Stegostoma tigrinum: one gene and its partner. The protein of the gene in region 1 purifies or fractionates together with the protein of each later gene. This does not show direct contact. Links are inferred from orthologs where the notes say so. Each region holds a gene or a part of one and is shown in the gene's direction. Other genes may lie near its edges. The genes, in order: gli2a and sufu.

The links.
Region 2: the proteins of gli2a (region 1) and sufu purify together in Homo sapiens (affinity purification with mass spectrometry; 3 studies listed by BioGRID and IntAct, with this or other methods). This does not show direct contact. The link is inferred for Stegostoma tigrinum from reciprocal best matches to the Homo sapiens genes GLI2 and SUFU.

What each region holds. Positions count from the first base shown.
Region 1 is NC_081360.1:88,740,285-88,751,068, reverse strand, and holds the start of gli2a (zinc finger protein GLI2a), read left to right. Parts: upstream 1-6,427; 5' UTR 6,428-6,871; intron 6,872-10,784. UniProt on the Homo sapiens protein: Functions as a transcription regulator in the hedgehog (Hh) pathway. Functions as a transcriptional activator. May also function as transcriptional repressor. Requires STK36 for full transcriptional activator activity.
Region 2 is NC_081373.1:7,323,424-7,333,964, forward strand, and holds the start of sufu (suppressor of fused homolog), read left to right. Parts: upstream 1-5,604; 5' UTR 5,605-5,787; coding exon 5,788-5,924; intron 5,925-10,541. UniProt on the Homo sapiens protein: Negative regulator in the hedgehog/smoothened signaling pathway. Down-regulates GLI1-mediated transactivation of target genes. Down-regulates GLI2-mediated transactivation of target genes. Part of a corepressor complex that acts on DNA-bound GLI1.

The sequences.
Region 1 (10,784 bases):
AAGGAAAAAGTAAAAAGTTATGCAGGTTGCTGGGAATGTGGAGAAGAAATCAGTTCAGCCATGACCTTATTGAATGGTAGAGTATGTTCCAGGTGCCAAGTAGCCTATTCATGTTACTCATGCATATCTTTGAATGTATGCAACTAATGGCATTGAATCTATCATTACTGTACCATGCTACCATATGTAAGAATCTTACTGTGGCACACAAAATGTTAACTTTGTGTAGTCACAGCATTGATAATAATTTAAGTTATGCTAGATAAGCTGCACAGTAACTCGCCATTTTCTCTAGTAGAACTAGTTATGTTCTTATTTAACAAAGAAATTGGATGTTAATTTAACGCGAGTTGGACACCCAGGTTGAGATATTTGTGTTTTTTGTTGCCAAGCAAGTTCCTGGAGGCAGAAGTTCCTCCAACATCTGTTAATGAAATCCATACAATCTCCGCCTTAGTTAGGGGATGAGGTAACACAGAATGGCACGACCACACTTGCAAAGTATGAAATATGAGTTTTCCCAGTCAAAGTATTAATAAGCATTCACTCTGGCAGCCGTATGGTTGTAACATTTTGGAAATAGATCATTTTTATTTTTAATTTTATCTGTTTTGACAGTTGCTGGGAGGGATTGATGCATGCCTGTGGAATTTTTGTTTTTCTTTAATTCCTAAGGTTCTGTATCTTTTTTATTTATTCAGTCAAAACCAGAAGAAGAAACAAATGCACAGCAGCAGATAAAACAGTGAAGAAGAACAGACAAGTGCAGACGAAATAAAAACTAGAAACAACTTGGAAGAGTATTTTGTACGGGTAACGTTAAGTGAGAAATTAAAAGAAGGATACGATGAAGTAATCAAGAAAAGAGAGGAAAGCAGAAATGTAGGATAAAGGAAACTGAATGGGAGAATTGTGCAGTTAAATTTCAACAAGTTGAGACTAAATTTTCCACTATCATTGAATGAATACATCTCTAGGATATCAATGCCAATACTAAGACGGTATATTTCAACCTTCATAACATGGCTCGACTCTGCTTCTGTTTCAGTTCATCTGCTGCTGAAAGCCTTCATACATGCCATTGTTCCCTCTATACGTGACTACTCAACATCCATTCCTTGCTGCTGATCCTGCATAAACTGAAGGTCATCTTAAATTCTGCCAACTGTAACTTTATTTGAACCAAGTTCTATTCACCTATCACCCCTATGCTGGCAGGTTTCCAGTTAAACTTGCTTTTAAAATTCTTAACCTCATTTAGAAATCTGCTCCTGTCATTATTATCTGTCCTCGCTGTTGGTGAAATCGGTATTTGCCACTTTTTAGTTCTTACTCCCCACTTTGGCCCTGTGCATTGAATTGCTCAAATAACAGCTGTATTGTCCACACTGTCACAAAACATGGACTTCAATCTGGTACTTCTTTGTTTTTCATTCAAAGAATCTGGTGTCATTGAGTAGGCCAACATTTATTGCTGATCTCTAATTCTCCTTAATGAAGTGGTGGTGAGCTGTCTTCTTAAACCACTACAGTTCATGTGGTGGCAGTACAGCCACAGTGCTGCTAGAAAGGGAGCTCCAGGAATTTTTCCCAGAGACTCTGAAGGGACTGTGACATAGTTCCACGTCCAAATAGTGAGAGGGTTGGTATTGAACTTGCAGATAGTGGTATTCCCTTGCAGCTGCCATGCTGAATTGCAGAAGTCATGGAAGTCTCTCGGTTTTGAAAGAGAGCATTCAGCTCACCAGTTCTTCAAATGAGCATCATTACCCAAAGCCAATCTATTGCTTTTTTCCCCAATATCCTTGCACATTATTTTTATTCAAAGGCCCTCTTGAATGAACCTGCTTCTTCCATGTGGTAATCTTGCAAATGGTAGAGATCATGGGTATGGAATGTGCTGTCTAAGAAGTCTTTGAAGAGCTGCTGCATTATATCTTGTAGATGGTACACACTGCTGCTACTATGCATCAGAAGTGGGGGGGAATTAAAATTGAAGTATTAGATGCCAGTCTAATTGACCGTTTTATCTTCAATGGTTTTGAGTGCTCTTGGAGCTGCACTCATCTAGGCCTGTGGTGAATTTTTCATCTTATTCCTGACTTGTGCCTTGTAGATAGAGGACAGTCTTTAAGGAGTGAGGATGGAATTACTTGCCACAGAATTATCTTCCTCTAATTTGCTCTTGTAGCCACAGTATTTATATGTGACATCCAAGAGGGCTTATGATGATTATTTAGATAGAAATAAAGAGTGTGTGTGGGGAGAAAGCCAGAGATTTGCACTAGGTAATGATGCTCTTGAGGAGTTAATGTAGACAGAATGGCCAAAAGGCCTCTTTATACATTGTAATAACTCTGCTTTGGCAATTATAAAGCCATTGAGTATCAAGGTTGATGACTGTACTCTGTCTTGTTGGATTTGGCCATGATCTAGCAGTCATGCAATGTGAATGCTACTTGCTACTTATCAGTCAAAACCAACATGTTGTGTAGGTTTTGTTGCATTTGTATATGGATTGGTTCAGTACCCAAGGAGTTGCAAATAGTACTGAATATGATGCAATCATCAGTGACCTTCCCCTACTATGATGAAGGGAAACTCACTGATGGAATAGATGTCACTGCTTGGGCTTAGAATCCTAACAAAGTCCTGCAGTGATGGCCTGTGGCTTCTGATCCACTGGATTCTCAGGACTAACAGAGAATTCCTACTGCCTGAAATATTAGACCATTGATTCTTCAGATGTTTGGCCACTCTCTGCTGGGAATGAACTCAGAAAATTTCAGTATGAGTTATTTTCCCACAGGAAAATAGGGAATATGCTCCAGAACATAGTCGCTAGGGATTTTTTAAATGGATTTGGTCAACATCTCTTTGCCAGATGAATGGTTTAAACTCCCTACGGAGAAAAATCAATAAGATATACATTGATTTTCTTCTTAAGTTACAATCATCAATAGCCAACTTTCAGGCTGAAGAATAGCAATTTGGACAATTTGAAAAATACAGGAAGAAAATGTTAACTTACACAGATATAGCATTTGAAAACTATCAGTATTCCTAATAGGTCTTAGTATAAAATGGTAAGTTTTATCTTAAGTAGTAGAATAAAGTGGATAATATCCAATAAGCCACCTTCTTCCATATTTCGCTCCTTATGTTCATTCTTTGTGACTTGTATCAGGAAAGATGTGCAACAAAAATACCCTCTAATCATTTGTAGTTGAAAGCCCATTGCACAATTTGGTTAGACAAAACATTAACTAAAGCAACTTCATTTACCTACTTATGGATGTAAAGGAATTAGAGGTAGTACGGTAATTGGACCAACTCTGCCATTGGATATTAGCCCCAAATCCAGATTCCTGCCTGCTCCTGATAAACTTTCATTATCTCATAGTTCAAGAATATGTCCACGTCAACCTTGAAATATTGTCAACCATTCAGCCTTCACAACTTTTGGAACTTTAGAATTTTGAGGGATAAGAACTTGTAAAGTGTAAAACCATCCTCGGTATAGTGCTGCATTAACATTTGAGTTTCAGGTATGTGCAAAAAATCCAATTACAATTGTGAAATGTTCAACGCAGAAGGCCACTGTTTATGTCACAATCTAAATCTGCCTGGAAATGATCAACTTCATTACTATTTTGAATACTTGTTTAAATCATAATGACTTAAATGCCACAATTAGCTTGGCTAATATCATAAAACAATGTGCTCAAAATGTGTATATACACACCTCACAATCTCATAATCAGCCAATGTGTGATATATTTACCAATTATAAAAATCACATCATCAACATCCCAGGAAATACCTTCAACCAGAAGCTTAACTGGATCAGCCATGTATGTATTGTAACTACAAAACCCAGGTTAGAGGCTGCGTAATCTGAGGTAAATAATTTGCATCCTGACTCTCCAGCTGTAAAGCACAAGTGAGAAGGATGATGAAATATTCCACTTGCCTAGACAAGAACAACACTCATGAAGATCAACACCATCCAGGACAAAATTAGTCTGCTTGATTGGCACCTATCCACTCACCCTCTCCAATGCTGATACGCCATGTCTGCACTGTGTACCATCTACAAGATGCAATGCAGCAAGGTTTCTGCTGCAGAACGTCCCAAATCTGTGATCTCTGCCACATCAAAGGAAAAGTTTAGCAAGCTAATGGAAATACCATTAACTTCAGGTTCACTGTCAAGCAACCCTGATTTGGAAATGTGGTGCTCATCATCACTGGGTTGAATTGAAACCTCAAAATATTGTTCGAGTATATTCACCACATGGACAGAGGCAATTCGAGAAGGACTCACCACCTTCTCTAAGCCAATTAGAGATGGGAAATAAATGCTGTTGTTCAAATTACACATAAAGGCCACATACTGTCAGAAGGGGCCAATTGTTTTCGATTGGACACAAGACATAAGACATTTCGATTACACTTAATAAGAGTATATTTATGGGTCTGTTCAATTTAGTTGACTAAATGTCAAATTACATGACTGTATTGTATAATCATTTGGTCTGATTGTATTATAGCTTTATAATATTCATAGATGATTACATTAGTTAATTTTAAATATAAATATTTAATTTTTCATATGCTGAATGATGTGACAGGATTTGAAAGGGTTGCCATCTGATTAAAACATAATTTATTGGTATATGATTTATAGTCGATATATAATTACAAAATATTTTAATTTCAGCTATTAGTGTACGCTGTATAATTAGATCAAGTGTAAGGATGAGATTGTATAGCTCTGAGCTTTGATGAGTTAATATTTTGTAAAGATTGTTTTATTAGCACATGACTGTAATGTGTTAGTCAGTTGGCAGAGTTCCATTCTGGGTCACACAGTTGGGGGTTGTCACCCTGTCCTTAAACTTGAGTGTATCATCTACCCTGACAGCTGAGTGCATCATGATGCTGATAGGTGTCCTTCAAATCTTGTCTGTACCTCCTATTTGGGAAAGATTGAAGAGGCCTGAATTCTTTACTCTTGAGAGAAGAAGGCTGTTGGTTGATTTTCCAGGCCTTTAAACTTATCAAAGAGTTTGAAAGGACAAACAAAATGACATTTCTGTTGCGTGAAAATCCAAAACTGGGGGTTATCAATATAGGATGATCACTAATAAATCCAATAAGAATTTCAAGAGGAACTTCACTTTTAAAAAGTGCTTTAGGGAAAAGTGAGTTAAATACCTGACAGTAAAGGAATAAGACGCTATGTGTAAAGACAAGCTGGAGGAGTTTCATAAACACAGGCAGAAACTAACTGGTTAGGTCAAATGTGTGCTATAACTTCTCGATAATTCGAATTATGTTCCTACAAAACCACAATCACTGGCATTAAAAGGAAAACAATAGTTGGAGGAGAATTAATGTTTTATTCTGAAAGTTGGTATATCAACTTAATGATGTTGACGAAAATAATGTTGCACGTTGCAGATTTAGGTTTTGTTGACAATGTTCCGAGCCATGAAAATCTGCAGTCTTGTAACCCGATATAAGACACGTTACCACACTATGGCTGTAGCTGTTTTAACAACCGCAATTGTTTATTAAAGACAAGCTGAGTAGCTATTGTTGGAAGCAAATACTCGAGGGGTTTGCGCTCTTCCTGCTCCTCCTCACTTAGCCAGCAGGTAGCAGGGGATGGCGCCTCCGCGTTCCTTCACAAGAGTTGGGTTCGTCCAGAATTGAATGGTAACGCCAGCAGAGGACAGCAAAGCACAAAAATAGGGGGAGCTATCAGTGCCAGTGAAATCAGACAGAACTGCTCGAAAAGCCAGAGTTCTGGGTTCACATACAGCCCTGTACAGTCCGACAATAAACGATCCTGAAGCGAAAACATTGTGTTTAGGCTTCTACACATCTAGTTGAGTCTGAATTGTAATAAATCATCACAATTATTTGATCTCGTCTTTTATTTTAATTGAGAAGTGGAGATTGGACTAAGTGTAAGGTTTCTCCTAAGTACCATAAAAGATGTAAATATAGTGTTAAAAATGTGTAGTACAAATTACAAAACGCAATGCTAGAATTTGGAATAATTTATTTTGGTCAGCATGCTTGCAAATTTTTTTTTAAAAATCGGCATTGCTTTTTTTTCATTACAAAGCAAGTTTGGTATTTGGAGAACGCAGATAGAAAAGACGGCGAGAAACATATACACAAACGAGTTGGATGGAGAAAAACTTTTGCCAAATCCATTCCTGCGTGTCTGAAAGTGCGTTTTTGGCAACAAAGCGCTTTGAGTAACTAACGTTGAGGACTCACCGGGGAGAAGGAGTGAGATAATCAGATAAGAGAGAGGGGAGGGGAGGGGGGACAGGAGTAAGTAATTCAGGGACTGCCTTTTCTGGAGCTGAAAACTGCGAACTGGTGAGGCAGAGGGAGGAAGAGAGAGAGAGAGAGAGAGAAAGTTTGTTGAATTGTCCACTCTCCTCCCTCTTTCTGCGCGTTGAGTCGAGAGGGGAAAGTTTTTTTTGCCCTCCTGTATCTTGTCTGAAGAATCGCAGTACAGACACGCCGGCAGCCGCCCCAACTCGCCAAACTCTGCGACTGAATTCATTCCTTTTATTCTGCAAAAAAAGAAAAATACACACGCTGAGAGAGACCGGCTCCCGGATTTCTTTGCTTTCAGATCTTTTGGAGAGCTTTAAAGCGTGGATTTTTCTTTGTTTTTGTTTGCAAAAAGCGTCCTATCGTTGATGATAACGGTTCCACGAGTTTTTTTTAAACAAATCTTCTGTATAAGTTTGTTTTTGTTTTGATATAGTTATTTCTTCCAGTTTGAAGCCTTTCAACAAATGATCAGATAATCAAAACAGAAGCTCTTCATTACAAACAGGTAACGTTTTGTATTTACCCCTCCTGTTTTTAGTTGAGAGAATGGTACCTCTGTGTTTACCGAAGACTGCATTGCTATTGTAATCATCATTTTTCAAAACTTTAGCGGTCCCTGTTTGGCTCGGCTGTGTGTTGGGAAGTTGGGGTAGTTGGAATTATGATTCACAGCAGACCGTGACTTTAGCAATCAAATGCCCTCAAAGTTTTCATTTTGCTTCAAAGCCCCATTGCCCCGTGTCGACTTTTTTTAAAATTGTATTTCTAACCCATTCCAGCTCCTGCCTCCTTTTGTCCCATTTTACCTTTTATGGAATTCCAAAAATGTTCTGCTTTTTGCAACCTGATCCCATTTTTTTTTCTCTCTGGATGAGTATTTGGTTAAGAGTCGGGCGCCAGTCTCATTACGGAGTTAAAGGGGAGAATCGGGGGAATTTGTGCGAGACCCAACCCAGAGTTTCCAGTGTGACTGTGTGCGTCTTGCGGGGGGATGGAGGGGAAAAAGTTGGACCGGCCAGTTTAGCAACTTTTTTTTGTTGTCATTGTCAGCCGAGTTCGTGCAGTTTTGTTTTCTCCGACAGTAATGGATGTTATGCATGGGATTCACTTGCTACCTTTGCATGTGTCATTTTTTTCTGAGCTTTTTAAGGAGTCCCGTGTTTACATAAAAGACTATTTTAGGGACCAAAGTGTGACAGTAAATGCTCTTTCTGCCAAACCCTACTAAACTCTCTGTAACTAGCGATGCAAAGACCACGGACAGAATGCAACTGGTTTTTTGTTTGCTGCATGAAGCACTTAGGAATTATTTCCCTCCACCAGTAAAATTATTTTAATGATGCATTTTCCCCAGTCTTGCCCTGGAATTAATTGCACGTTTTGGCACCACTCGCAATTAAGAAGCGCAAACCTATTTTAATTACACGTTTACTTTCACTGAGCGATCGTGGTGTGTTGCCTGACAGGAGTATATCGTTCTGACTCGTGGTAAAATTTGGTCCCTTTTCTTAAACAGTTCAGTTCAAATGAGATCAACTTTGCCACACTTAAGGTCAGAGTGGCTCTTAAAGGGATAGTGCTCCCGGGATATAACAAAAAGATGATGGTTGTGAGGTGTTACTTTTATGTAATGACTTTCAAAGCAGTTGTTGTAATTTTACACGCACAGGTCTTATATGTGTATATTCTATGTGGGTATGTGTGCTGACCAATAACGGCCTCTGTCCAGTTGGCAGAGTGATAATTGACACAACCCTTCAGTGCTATCTGAAATACACACATTGCTAAAATTCTTTGTGCTCCTCTGAGACCCGTATCACATCAATTATGGAGCCAATTTAATTGTACAAACACACCACGGCCAGAGCATTTGCTCTTAAAATACACCGGGAGAGTAGAAAACATTTTGGCTCACTCATGTAAAAGTTTTCTCCTCAGAAGTTTCCATTTCTGGGAACACTGAATCCTGAATTGGGTCCAACTTGCATTTCTCACTGGCACCAATTTGACCTGGTATAGACCATCTTTGGTTTCCAAAAATGCTTTGTGTGTGCATATGCAGGCAGCGCTCATTCTGCCCTGTAAGCTAAGCATTCCAGCCTCTAATGCTCTTTTAAGGATGATGCAGCTTTTAAAAGAGTTGAATTTATATTTACATCCACGTTATGAAACATTTTCAAAGTGAATACCTAGTCAGTCCTCAGTGGACGATGAAGTAATGTGTTCCTTCGCTAAGTATAGAAGCATTCTGAATAGATCTAATTGTTTGATTCACAGTTAAATTCTCATACTGTTTACTGTGTGCTGTCAGGTCATTTTCAAAATGGAATATAAGGTCGGATAACATGAAACATAAATTCAGACAAGTTGTTCAGATCAGCTGTGTTTTGTTAAAAGAGTCAGTTCATTGGAACTGGCTTAATTAAATGGTGTTCATTGCTTACAATGTCATTAAAGCATCAGCGTCTTGAAAATGACCTTTGATACAAATGTTTACTCCTGTTTACAATTTGTGGTGTGTTTTTAAAAACAGTTTATGGTGTATCTGAAGCAATTTGCGTGACTGATGCTTCTTAGTGCCACAGAAGCATTTTAAATAATGGTAGATTCGACATGTGGAAACATTGGTTTAATAATCTTGCACGTTTGCTGGAGCTCAAGTTTTTTTTCCAATAATGTAGATGTAGCAGTAAGCAAGCCTCTGGAAAAGAAAATCATCCTCTAGCTCTCTCACTTGATCTGCAGCACTGTTCTGTAATTTTAAATACTGAACTCGTCTGGCAGTTACTTTTTAAGTTTTTGCTCCTGGCAAGTAAAAAGAGGCTACCACAGAAGTTGAGCTCAGTTTACACAGTGGCACGCTTATATATCTATAAGATGTACACCCAAGTGCCCTTGATACTCTTGAATGTACTACTTTACAGTGAACGATTGACGCAGTGATAAGGTAGAACAGTAGGTGTATCATACCAATGATTGTGATTTTGAATGAACACATCATTATGCTGTGCTAATAGTAGCAGAATGGATACAAGTTTTGTGGGCACTTGGAGCTGTATTACGTAGAGATCTTATGATGAAAAGCATGGGAAACCCCACACATATTAACTTCCTTAAAAGCCCTCCCGATCTGGGTGCATATACGACACCCAGTGCTGACAACACCATTTAGATGGCATTCTACTGGTCACTTATTTACTGCAGTCAGACCACAAGAACAAAGTAAATAGGAGAAGGAGGAGGCCATTCAGCCTGTCAAAACTGATATAACAATCAAATAGATCACACTGATCTTCTACCTCAATGCCATTATTCTGCACTGTCCTTACATCTCTCAATATCCCAGAGTCATAGACTCATAGACATGTACAGCACAGAAACAGACCCTTCGGTCTCACTCGCCCATGCTGGTTAGATACTAAAGTAGTCTAGTACCATTTGCCGGCGTTGGGCCCATATCGCTCTAAATCCTTCCTATTCATGCATTCTTCCAGATGTCTTTTAAATGTCGTAATTGTACCAGACTCCAGCACTTCATCTGGCAGTTCATTTAATACATACAGCACTGTTTGCATGAAAATGTTGCCCCTTAGGTCTCTTTAATATCTTTCCCTTCTTATCTTAAACTTATGTCTTTTAGGTTTGGACTCCCTTACCCTGGAAAAAGACCTCAGCTATTCACCCTGCCCATGCCCCACATGATTTTATAAAGCTCTATAGGTTCATCCCTCAGGCTGCAATGTTGTCTTTAATATCTAGGAATGGATTAAACTCCAACTTGAACACCTCAATGACTGGACATCCCAGCCCTGTGGCCAAGAATTCCAAAGGTTCACCATCTGCAGAAGCTATTTTTCCTCACCTCAGTTTTAAATGGCCTGTCTCTTGCAGTGTTCCTGGAACTCGTAATGATTATTACTGTTGGACTATTCTGTAGTTGATGGATCATGCTGAAGGTCATAAAATAGCTCTTCAGATTGTCTTGCATTGCCCTTTTTAAGGCGAATGTTAACTGCTAGCGCAGTGCCCCACAAAATGCAGCACCACAGAATGTGCAGTGTGCCTCTTGCTAAGTTAATGCCACAAGTTAACTGAAAAGCTACAGCAATATTTGCTCCAAGTTTTCACACCACTTAGTGTCTTATCAATATGTGGAGCCTCTGTCAGTGGATTGCAGTTTCAGATGCAGCCTTCTGTGAAATCTGTTAAAATTTGTTTCGTAAATCTGAGCAGCAGGCTTTGCATCTACTGGTTCAGTGAAATCTTTCAGTTATTTTGCTTTCAGTTTTTCGGTCATTCTTCAATTCTGATTAAATTTTGTTGTTGTGCACAGATGCCCTAGCCATGGTGACATAGTTACCGACACTGGCACTATTGATTTAGTAGCTTGCGCTCTAAATAATTATACAAAAAGATTG
Region 2 (10,541 bases), on another chromosome or scaffold:
GTGTACTTTGTTGATTTCTGTGGCCTGACTTGAAGTTTTGTACATCAGATTTGTTCACTTTAGCCTTGTGTGTATAACCATTTCCAATAATAAGGTATTGTATTTGTCACAAATAAGAAAAGTAAAAGTTGTTCAAGATAAGTCTTCTGGTTGCCAGAATACCATGATCAGTGAATTTCTTGGACCAGAAGCAGTTACCAAACAGTAAAAAAAGACTTGCACTTATATTTTTGCATTTTCACATCCAACAGACCAGAAGCAATGTTTTCATTCTGCATTTGAGAAGGTTTTATTATTTTTAATACTAATAATTAGATGTTAATATGGAAGGCTAATCAGGAAGGCTAATGCAATATTGGCACTTATTTTTGAGGGGTTTGGATTATAAGCATAGGGAAGTCTTACTGCAACTGTACAATGTGCTGATGAGATGACATCTGGAGTACTGACAGGGGAGTTCAAAACTAGAGGGCATAGGCTTCAGGTGAAACGGAAAGGTTCAAGAGGGACCTAAGGGCAACATTTTCACGCAGAGAGTAGTGTATGTATGGAACAGCTGTCAGAGGAAATGGTGGAGACTGGTACAATTACAACATTTAAAAGGCATCTGGATGGGTACATGAATAGGAAGGGTTTAAAGGGACATGTTTCAAATGCTGGCAGGTGGGACTAGATGAATTTAGGATATCTGGTGGCAGGGATGAGTTGGTCTGAAGAATCTGTTTCCATGCTGTACAGCTCTATAACTCTACTGTGAGCAGTTTTGATCCCCTTATTTAAGGAAAGATATTATCTCAATAGACACAGTTCAGAGATGGTTCACTAGGATGATCCCTGGTATCGAGGGTTTGTCTGATGGGCAAAGGCTAAATAGGTTGGGAATCAATTAATTGGAATTTAGAAGAATGAGAGGTGATCTCATTGAAACATACAGCAAGCTCAAGGGGTTTGATTGGGTAAAGGCTGAGAGGATGTTTCCCCTCATGGGAGGCTCTAGGACCAGAGGATATATTCTCAGAATAAAGGGGTGTCAATTCAAAACTGAGATGAAGAGGAATTTTCTTCTCTCAGAGTTGTGGGAGTTTGGAATTCCTTGCCGGGACAGAGCATTTGTGTATATTTGAGGCTGAGACAGATAAATTCTTGATTGATAAGGGAATTAAAGGTCACGATAAGATATAGGAAAGTGGATATGAGGAATGTTCAATCAGCCATAATTCTATTGAATGATAGAGCAAGCTCAGAGGGGCCAAATCGCTATTCTTGTTCCTATTTCTTATAATCTTATTATGATCTTATGGAAACTGTCATGCATTGTTAAACGTCAAGAACCTATCAGTTTGCATATAGGCAAGTTATTTGGATTGTGCCCAAATCAGGAAGTGAATGCTTTGTTGTTAGTGTTAATCTGTCTTTACATGGTTACAATGTCAATGACGCTGAGGTATGAATACTCATCAACTATGTTATTTAGAACTGTATCTTTGAAAATGATTGTGAGCTGAAATACGATGCTGTTTTAGCACAATATGCTTCATTCAGTTAGACTTAGATTCCACAATTAGTATTTGAATTAGAAATTGCATTATTCATGTGCAAACATCACAGAATGCAGCATGGTAAACATAAGATTGTTTCCTCTGAACAATTTTCAGACCAATTCTGAATAAAAAGTACTGGAACATATAATTGTTTTCTTCAGTTCTGGTACCATCACCAACTTTGTATTGGTGCTTCTGTGTTTCATTTTCATTCATGGAATTCATAGGCCATCAATCATCCATGATTGTCCGAAAGGTGGTGATGAGCTGCCTCTTTAAACAGGTGCAGTCATAGAGAAATACAGCATAGAAACAGATTTTTTGGTCCAACTTGTCCATGCTTACCAAGTTTCCAAAACTATACCAGTCCCATTTGCTTGTGTTTGGCTCCTTTCCACTTATGTACCTGCCCAAATGTCTTTTAAATGTTGTAACTGTACCTGCGTCTACCACTACCTTTGGCCGTTTATTCCACATATGAATCACTCTCTGTTCAAAAAAGTTGCCCCTCATGTCCTTTTTAAATCTTTCTCCTCCCATCTTCAAAATATGCACCCTGGTCTTGAACTCCCCCCAACCCTAGGGAAAAGACCTTTGCTATACACCTTATCTATTGTCCTCATGATTTTATAAATGTCTAAAAGGTCATCCCTCAACCTCCCATGCTCCAGTGAAAAATGTCCCAGTCTATCCAGCATCACCTCACAACTCAAGCCTTCCAGTCCTGGTAACATCCTTAGAATAGAATCAAAGAAGAGAATCCCTACAGTATGGAAACAGGCCCTTTGGCCCATCTAGTCCACACCGGCCATCAGAGCATCTCATCCAGACCCATCTCCCACGTAATCTATACATCCCAAAACACTACAGACAATTTAGCATAGCCAATCCACCTAATCTGCACATTTTTGGAACGTGGGAGGAAAGCGGAGTACCCGGAGGAAACCCACGCAGAGACAGGGAGGATGTACAAACTCCACACAGACAGTTGCCCGAGGGTGGAATCGAATCCAGGTCCCTGGTGCTGTGAGGTAGTGCTAAACACTGAGCCACTGTGCCGCCCAATAGTTGGCAGCAGTGGGATATCCTTGTAAATCTTCTATGCACCCTCTCCAATTTAACAATATTCTTCCTATAGCAGGGTTACTAGAACTGTACACAGTATTCCAAAAGTGGCCTCATCAACATCCTTTACTACCGCAATATGACGTCTCACCGCCTATACTCAATGGTCTGAGCAATGAAACAGGCATGCCAAATGTCTTCTTTACATCCTGTTGCAACTTTCAAACAACTAGTACCTGAACTCCTAGGTGTCTCTGTTTGAAAGCACCTAACCAGGGCCCTATCATTAACTGATAACCAAGTGTGGAGCTGGATGAACACAGCAGGCCAAGCAGCAGCAGTTCCCATTATCTCTAAGTCCTGCCCTTATTTGCCTTACAAGAATGAAATACCTTATAATTATGTAAATTAGACTCCAGCTGCCACTCCTGGGCCCATTGGTCCATTTGATCAAGACCTCTTTGTCATCTTAGATAACCTTCTTCACTGTCGACCATACCACCAACATTGGTGTCAGCCACAGACTTATTAACCATGCTTCCTAAATTCCCATCCAAATTGTTTATATAAATGACATTCACTAGTAGACTAATCACTGATCCCTGCAGAACACCGCTGGTCATAGGCCTCCAGTCCGAAAAAAAAATACCCTCCTCCATCACCCTCTATCTCCTACTGTCAAGCCAATTTTGTACTTAATTGACAAGCTCTCCCTGAATCCCATGTGATCTAACTAAACTGACCAGTCTACCATGAAGAACATTGTCAAAGGCTTTTGGCACCGCAATAGTGAAGGAATAGCGATGCAGTTCCAAGTCTGGATGGTATGTGGCTTGGTGAGAAACTTGTGGGTGGTTGCGTTCTAATGCATCTGCTGCCCCTGTCCTTCTGTATGGTAGAGGTCACAAGTTTGGTAGCTGCTGTCAAAAAAATTTTGGGTGAGTTCTGCACATCTTGTAGATGCTACACACCGTTGCCACTGTGTTTCTGTGGTGAAGAGAAAGAATGCAGAAGGTGATGGGTTTAGTGCCAATCAAGTGGGGTGTTTCATGGAATCCCTACATTGCAGAAAGAGGCCATTTGGCCCATTGAGTCTGCACCACCACCCGAAGAGCATCCCATCAGACCCTCCCTATCCCTGTCATCCCACATCTACCACGGCTCATAACCCCCCTAGCCTGGGCACCCGTGGATACCACATGACAATTTAAAATAGCCAATCCACATAACCTGCACTTCTTTGCAATGTGGAAACAAACCGGAGCACCAGAGGAAATCCATGCAGACACGGGAAGAACGTGCAAACTCCACACAGACAGTTACCCAAGGATGGATTCAAACCTGAGATCCTGGTGCTATAAGGTAGCAGTGCTTACCACTGAGCCACTGTGTCCTGGTATTTATTTGTAAATATGTTCAATTATTATTTTTATCATGAACACGATGGTCAGTCTACTGTCTTTCAGAATTGACAGCATAACTAAAATGGCTTGGATTTTGTGGTGAGGCAAAGCAACAGGTAAAGTGAGATAGAATCATTAGGGAGAGGGCAAGAGTGCTTAAGGAGCATTGTGGAGGGTTAGACAAGAAGCATTAGCAGCAGGGCAAGGGGCAGCGAGAGAGAGAGAGAGACAGTGTAAGTGTGGGAAGGAGGGTATAGTAGGACAATGTCAGGAACAAGATAACGGGTAGAGTGAGAGAAACAGGAATGCAGTTAATGGTAAAGGGGACAACTAGCATGAGGGACAAATGAAGCTTAGCACCTGTACTGTGAAGGGGTTGGTTGGCAGCAATGAACAGTTGAGCACAGGCAACATGAGGGACAGGAATTGATTGGGAACGAGGGGTAGGGGAATCATTGGCAGTGCAACAGACAAGCATTCAATTGGCAGCAGCAGCGTGATGGGCAGTGATTTAGGAGCATGATGGACAGAGGACTGTTGAGAGCACAAGGGGAGGACATGGGGGGGGCAGTTGGCAATGTGAGGGGATGTCAGGGGACAGTCGGCAGTGTGAGGGGAAGACATGGGGGAGGGAAGCAATCGGCAGTGTGAAGGGAAAACATGGGGAAGGGTGGCAGTTGGCAATGTGAGGGGAGGACTTGGAGGGCAGTTGGCAGTGTGATGGGAGGACATGGGGGCAGTTGGCAATGTGAGGTGAGGACATGGGGGGCAGTTGGCAGTGTGACGGGAGGACATGGGGAAGGGTGGCAGTGTGACGGGAGGACATGGGGAAGGGTGGCAGTTGGCAGTGTGAGGGGAGGACATAGGGGGAAGTTGGCAGTGTGAGGGGAGGCCATGGGGGAAGGGGCAGTTGGCAGTGTGAGGGGAGGACATAGGAGGAAGTTGGCAGTGTGAGGGGAGGCCATGGGGGAAGGGGCAGTTGGCAGTGTGATGGGAGAACATGGGGGCAGTTGGCAATGTGAGGGGAGGACATGGGGGCAGTTGGCAATGTGAGGTGAGGACATGGGGGGCAGTTGGCAGTGTGACGGGAGGACATGGGGAAGGGTGGCAGTTGGCAGTGTGAGGGGAGGACATAGGGGGAAGTTGGCAGTGTGAGGGGAGGCCATGGGGGAAGGGGCAGTTGGCAGTGTGAGGGGAGGACATGGGGGAAGGGGCAGTTGGCAGTGTGAGGGGAGGACATGGGGGGGCAGCTGGCAATGTGAGGAGAGGACATCGAGGGCAGCTGGCAGTGTGAGGGGGGGAACATGGGGGAAGGGGCAGTTGGCAGTGTGAGGGGAGGACATGGGGAAGGGTGGCAGTTGGCAGTGTGAGGGGAGGACATGGGGGGGCAGCTGGCAATGTGAGGAGAGGACATCGAGGGCAGCTGGCAGTGTGAGGGGGGGAACATGGGGGAAGGGGCAGTTGGCAGCGTGAGGGGAGGACATGGGGAAGGGCGGCAGGTGGCAGCCGCAGCGGCGCGAGCGGGCGGCGGTTACGGAGCGAATCAGCGCGAGCGCGGGCGGGTGGGGGAGGTGGAGGAGGGGGGGGAAGGGAGGTGAGAGCGGGGACGGCTTGGCCCGGAACGGAAGGACGGGTCGGCTGACGAGTTTGACGCTTCGTTGGGGTCGAGCGCGGTGGACGCCCGAATTCCAGAGAGAGAGAGAGAGACAGGATCCACCTTCAGGCCGAGGGACACCCACAACATTCCCGGGTAGACCGGCGCTGGGACAGCCGAGCCGATGGAGGAGTTGCGGCCTAGCGGCCCCGGCATTGCGGCGCTCCTGCCTCCGGGTTTGCACGCTATCTATCAGGAGTGCAGACGACTTTACTCGGACCAGCCGAACCCACTGCAGGTCACCGCCATCGTAAAGTACTGGTAAGTCCCCGACTCCTGCGCTCTCTCCTCACCGGTTGGTCTCCAGCCCGTTTCCCGAGGCCCCATGCCCGAGAACGATTAACTTAGTGTAAATCAAGGCAATAAAACGGTTTCCATTTGAGGAATATAAACGCACACTTTTTCTCTGCAATGTTTAAAGTTCAATTTTCCCCTCCCTCACTTTTCAAAAAGTTTATGGCAGCTTCGGGGAAAAGAATGTTTTCATTATTTTGTGTTTTGATGATGGGAGTTGGCGCTATACTGTTTACCTTTCCAAATTCAGAAAATACATTCTGTACCGATATCATCTGTTTAACCCTTTTTGCAGAACTGGATCTACCATCCTACCTAAGGCAAACTATAAATAAACAACTGCAGTTTTTACATAAGTATCTGGAGCTTGCTATGCACGTCGTTGTGGAAGAACTTTTGTTTTTATCATTTGAGTTGATTTCAACGAGAAATGGTCTAATAAACAAGGTACAAAAAGGGGTAACAATTTTTGTCTTTTCTAGTCAATTTTTCCACAACAAAAAACGGTAGCCAGCAAACGCCTTTTTATCATCAGCACATAGGCAAATCCAATCATTTTCTCTAATTCCAAAAGTAAACCATCCTTTGAGAATTTTCAACTTGAACTGGTAAAACTATTAGTAATTTTGCTGCAGTTTTTAAAAAAAATGCAGAATACATAGTCAAAATTCAACCTGCTTAAGAATATTTGACTGAACACCTTTTTATAATGTGTGGTAGAAATATTGATCCGTTAACAAACGACTAAGAATAAATTGAGATTTTATGAAAGTTGATTTAGAATTTTAAACTGTCATGTATTTTCATTGACAGTGTGAATTTCAAATATTAGTTAAAAACCAATTTGTACTATGTTACCATAAATTAGTTGTCCTCTGCTGAGTATCATTCAGCACTTGTGAACTTGATGAAAGGAGAAGTTTTGATTTATTTCAGTAGCTATGCATCTAATGTAGGGTTCACTTGTGGTTTTATGTTTGGGACATATTTCCCTATACAGATCAAGGATGGTCTATCCATTGAATGATGGATTTGGATCTCTTGAGGCATTTAATTTTGAATGTTATTGTTTCCATATGCTAGGATATCCTACACAGCATGTGTCCTATTCTGTAGTTTTGGGTAGTCTTGTCTTTTTATGCTGGCCTATAAATTTATTCAAAAAATGTTGGCAAGTTTGATTATTTTGGAAAATAACTATTGAATGTATAAAGGGAAATTGTAAAGGACGATTCTAACTTTTGACCTCTTTGTACACAAATCTACCTAAATTTGCTTTCTATCTGACTGTCTTCTTATTGTTGGTACTTGCTTTGTCTTTATCTTTAGTGTCCTTTCTCTCTAATCTCAAGGCCTAACTACCTGATACAGCACAGATCATGAATTCTGTTAGATTTTATGGGAAGTTACATGATGGTAAACAATGACTGCATGATAACTGGTGAGGAAGAAATTTGTAGAGATCCACAAACTCCCCAGTGAATATAACTTTCTCGAGCCCCTCCTCCTTCAAGTTTCAAGACTCCTTGTAGAAATATCTGTATCATCTATAACTGGGTGAGGTGCCTGATGGCAGGAGGGTGGCTAATATTGGACCTTTGTGTAAGATGGGTTGTAAGGAGAAACTGGGGAGCTGTAGACCTGAGAGTCTGATTTCACTTGTAGGTAAATTGTTGGAGGTGATTATAAAAGATAGGATTTATGGACATTTAGAGAGGCAAAAATTGATAAGTCAAAGTCAGCATGGTTTTGTGTGAGGAAAATCATGTCTCACAAACTTGACTGAGTTTTTTGAAAAAAGTTACTAAAAGGGTTGACAGAGGAGCAGACGTTTATTTGGATTTTAGTAAAGCCTTTGACAAGGTTCTACATAGTAAACTAAATAGTAAAGTTAGGTCACATGGGAATCTTGGTGACCTTGCCAATTGGCTACATAATTGGCTTAATGGAAGGAGACAGAATAATGGTGGAACGTTGCTTTTTGGGCCGGAGGCCTGTGACCGACGGTGTTCCGCAGGGGTCGGTTATGAGTCCTGTTTTGTTTGTCATTTATATAAATGATTGGCTGAGATTATAGAAGGCATGGTTAGTAAGTTTGTGGATGACACCAAAGTTGTTGGCGTCGTAGGCAGTGAAGAGGGCTTTCTGCAGATTACGGAGGGGTCTTTATCAAATGGGTCAATGGGCTGAAAAATGGATAAGTACAAGGTGTTGCATTTTGGTGCAGCTGACAAGGCTAGGGCTTATACAGTTAATAGTAGGGCCTTGGGTGGTGTTGTAGAACAGGAGGACCTAGGAGTCCAGATATACAAATCTTTAGAGTTGTGTCACACACAGACAGGATGGTTAAAAAAGTGTTTGGCACACATGCCTTCATTGCTTGGTCCTTAGTGTATAGGAGTTGGGACATTATGTTGAGATTGTACAGGACGTTGGTGAGGCTTCTTCTGGAATAGAGTGTCCGGTTCTGATTGCCCAGTTATAGGAAGGATATTATCAATCTGGAGAGGGTTCAGAAGGTATTCAGCAGGATATACGAGGTATGAAAGGTTTGAGTTATAAGGAAATGCTGGATAGACTGGGACTTTTTTTTTCCACTGGAGTTTAGGAGGTTGAGAAGTGACCTGATAGAAGATTTTATAAAATAAAGAAAGGTCTATTTAAAGTCTTTGTAAGATTTGTAACTCGGGTTGTGGATGATGATGTAGACTTGCTGAGCTGGTGTGTTTGGTTGCAGACATTTTGAAACTTTGCTAGGTAACATGGCCAGTGTGCTACTGTTGAAGAAGAAACATCTGCAATCAAACTAAAATAACAAATTGTGGAGCTGGATAAACACAGCAGGCCAAGCAGCATCTCGGGAGCACAAAAGCTGACGTTTCGGGCCTAGACCCTTCATCAGAGAGGGGGATGGGGAGAGGGTTCTGGAATAAATAGGGAGAGAGGGGGAGGCAGAGCGAAGATGGAGAGAAGCGGAGAGTATAGGTGGGGAGGTAGGGAGGGCATAGGTCAGTCCAGGGAAGATGGACAGGTCAAGGAGGTGGGATGAGGTTAGTAGGTAGGAGATGGTGGTGCGGCTTGAGATGGGAGGAAGAGATGGGTGAGAGGAAGAACAGGTTAGGGAGGCAGAGACAGGCTGGGCTAGTTTTGGGATGCAGTTGGGGGAGGGGATGAGCTGGGCTGGTTTTGGGATGCGGTGGGGCAAGGGGCGATTTTGAAGCTGGTGAAGTCCACATTGATACCATTGGGCTGCAGGGTTCCCAAGCGGAATATGAGTTACTGTTCCTGCAACCTTCGGGTGGCATCCTTGTGGCACTGCAAGACACCCATGATGGACATGTCGTCTGAAGAATGGGAGGGGGAGTTAAAATGGTTTGCGACTGGGAGGTGCCGCTATTTCTTGCGAACCGAGCGGAGGTGTTCTGCAAAGCGGTCCCCAAGCTTCCGCTTGGTTTCCCCAATGTAGAGGAAGCCACACCAGGTGCAATGGATACAGTATACCACATTGGCAGATGTGCCGGTGAACTTCTGCTTAATGTGGAAAGTCATCTTGGGGCCTGGGATGGGGGTGAGGGAGGCGGTGTGGGGGCAAGTGTAGCACTTCCTGCGGTTGCAGGGGAAGGTGTTGTGGGGTTGGAGGGGAGTGTGGAGCGAACAAGGGAGTCACGGAGAGAGTGGTCTCTCTGGAAGGCAGACAAGGGTGGGGATGGAAAAATGGCTTGGGTGGTGGGTTCAGATTGTAGATGGCGGAAGTGTCGGAGGATGATGCGTTGTATCCGGAAGTTGGTGGGGTGGTGTGTGAGAACGAGGGGGATCCTCTTTTGGCGGTTGTGGCGGGGTCGGGGTGTGAGGGATGTGTTGCGGGAAATGCGGGAGACGCGGTCAAGGGTGTTCTCGACCACTGCCGGGGGAAAGTTGCAGGCTTTGAAGAGCTTGGACATCTGGGATGTGCGGGAGTGGAATGCCTCATCCTGGGAACAGATGCAGCGGAGGCGGAGGAATTGGAAATAGGGAATGGAATTAAACTCGCTGGCTTGGCGAACAAGTCTACAACCTAATGAAAGATACAGTTAGAGTTGATAGTAGTTGTCTTTTCCCTAAGTTGGGGGATTTCAAGACTGTGGGCCCATCTCTAAAGTGAGAGGAGGAAGGTTTAAAAAAGACAGCAGGTAAATTTTTTTAACACAGTAGGTGGTTCCTGTGTGAAATGAACTTCCTGATGAAGTGGTGGATGCAGGTACAGTTACATAGAACATAGAACATAGAACATTACAGCACAGTACCGGCCCTTTGGCCCTCGATGGTATGACAGGTCGGCACAACAATCTGAAGCCCATCTAACCTACATTATTCCATGTACATCCATATGCTGGTCCAATGACGACTTAAATGTACTTAAAGTTGGAATGTTTAAAGTTACAATGTTTAAAAGACATTTGGATGGATAAATGAATGAAGATTGGAGGGGTATGGGCCAGGAGTTGGCAGGTGGGACAAATTTAGTTTGGGATTATATTTGGCATGGACTGGTTAGACTGAAAGGTCTGTTTCTTTGCTGTGTGACTCTATGACACAAAATTCCTG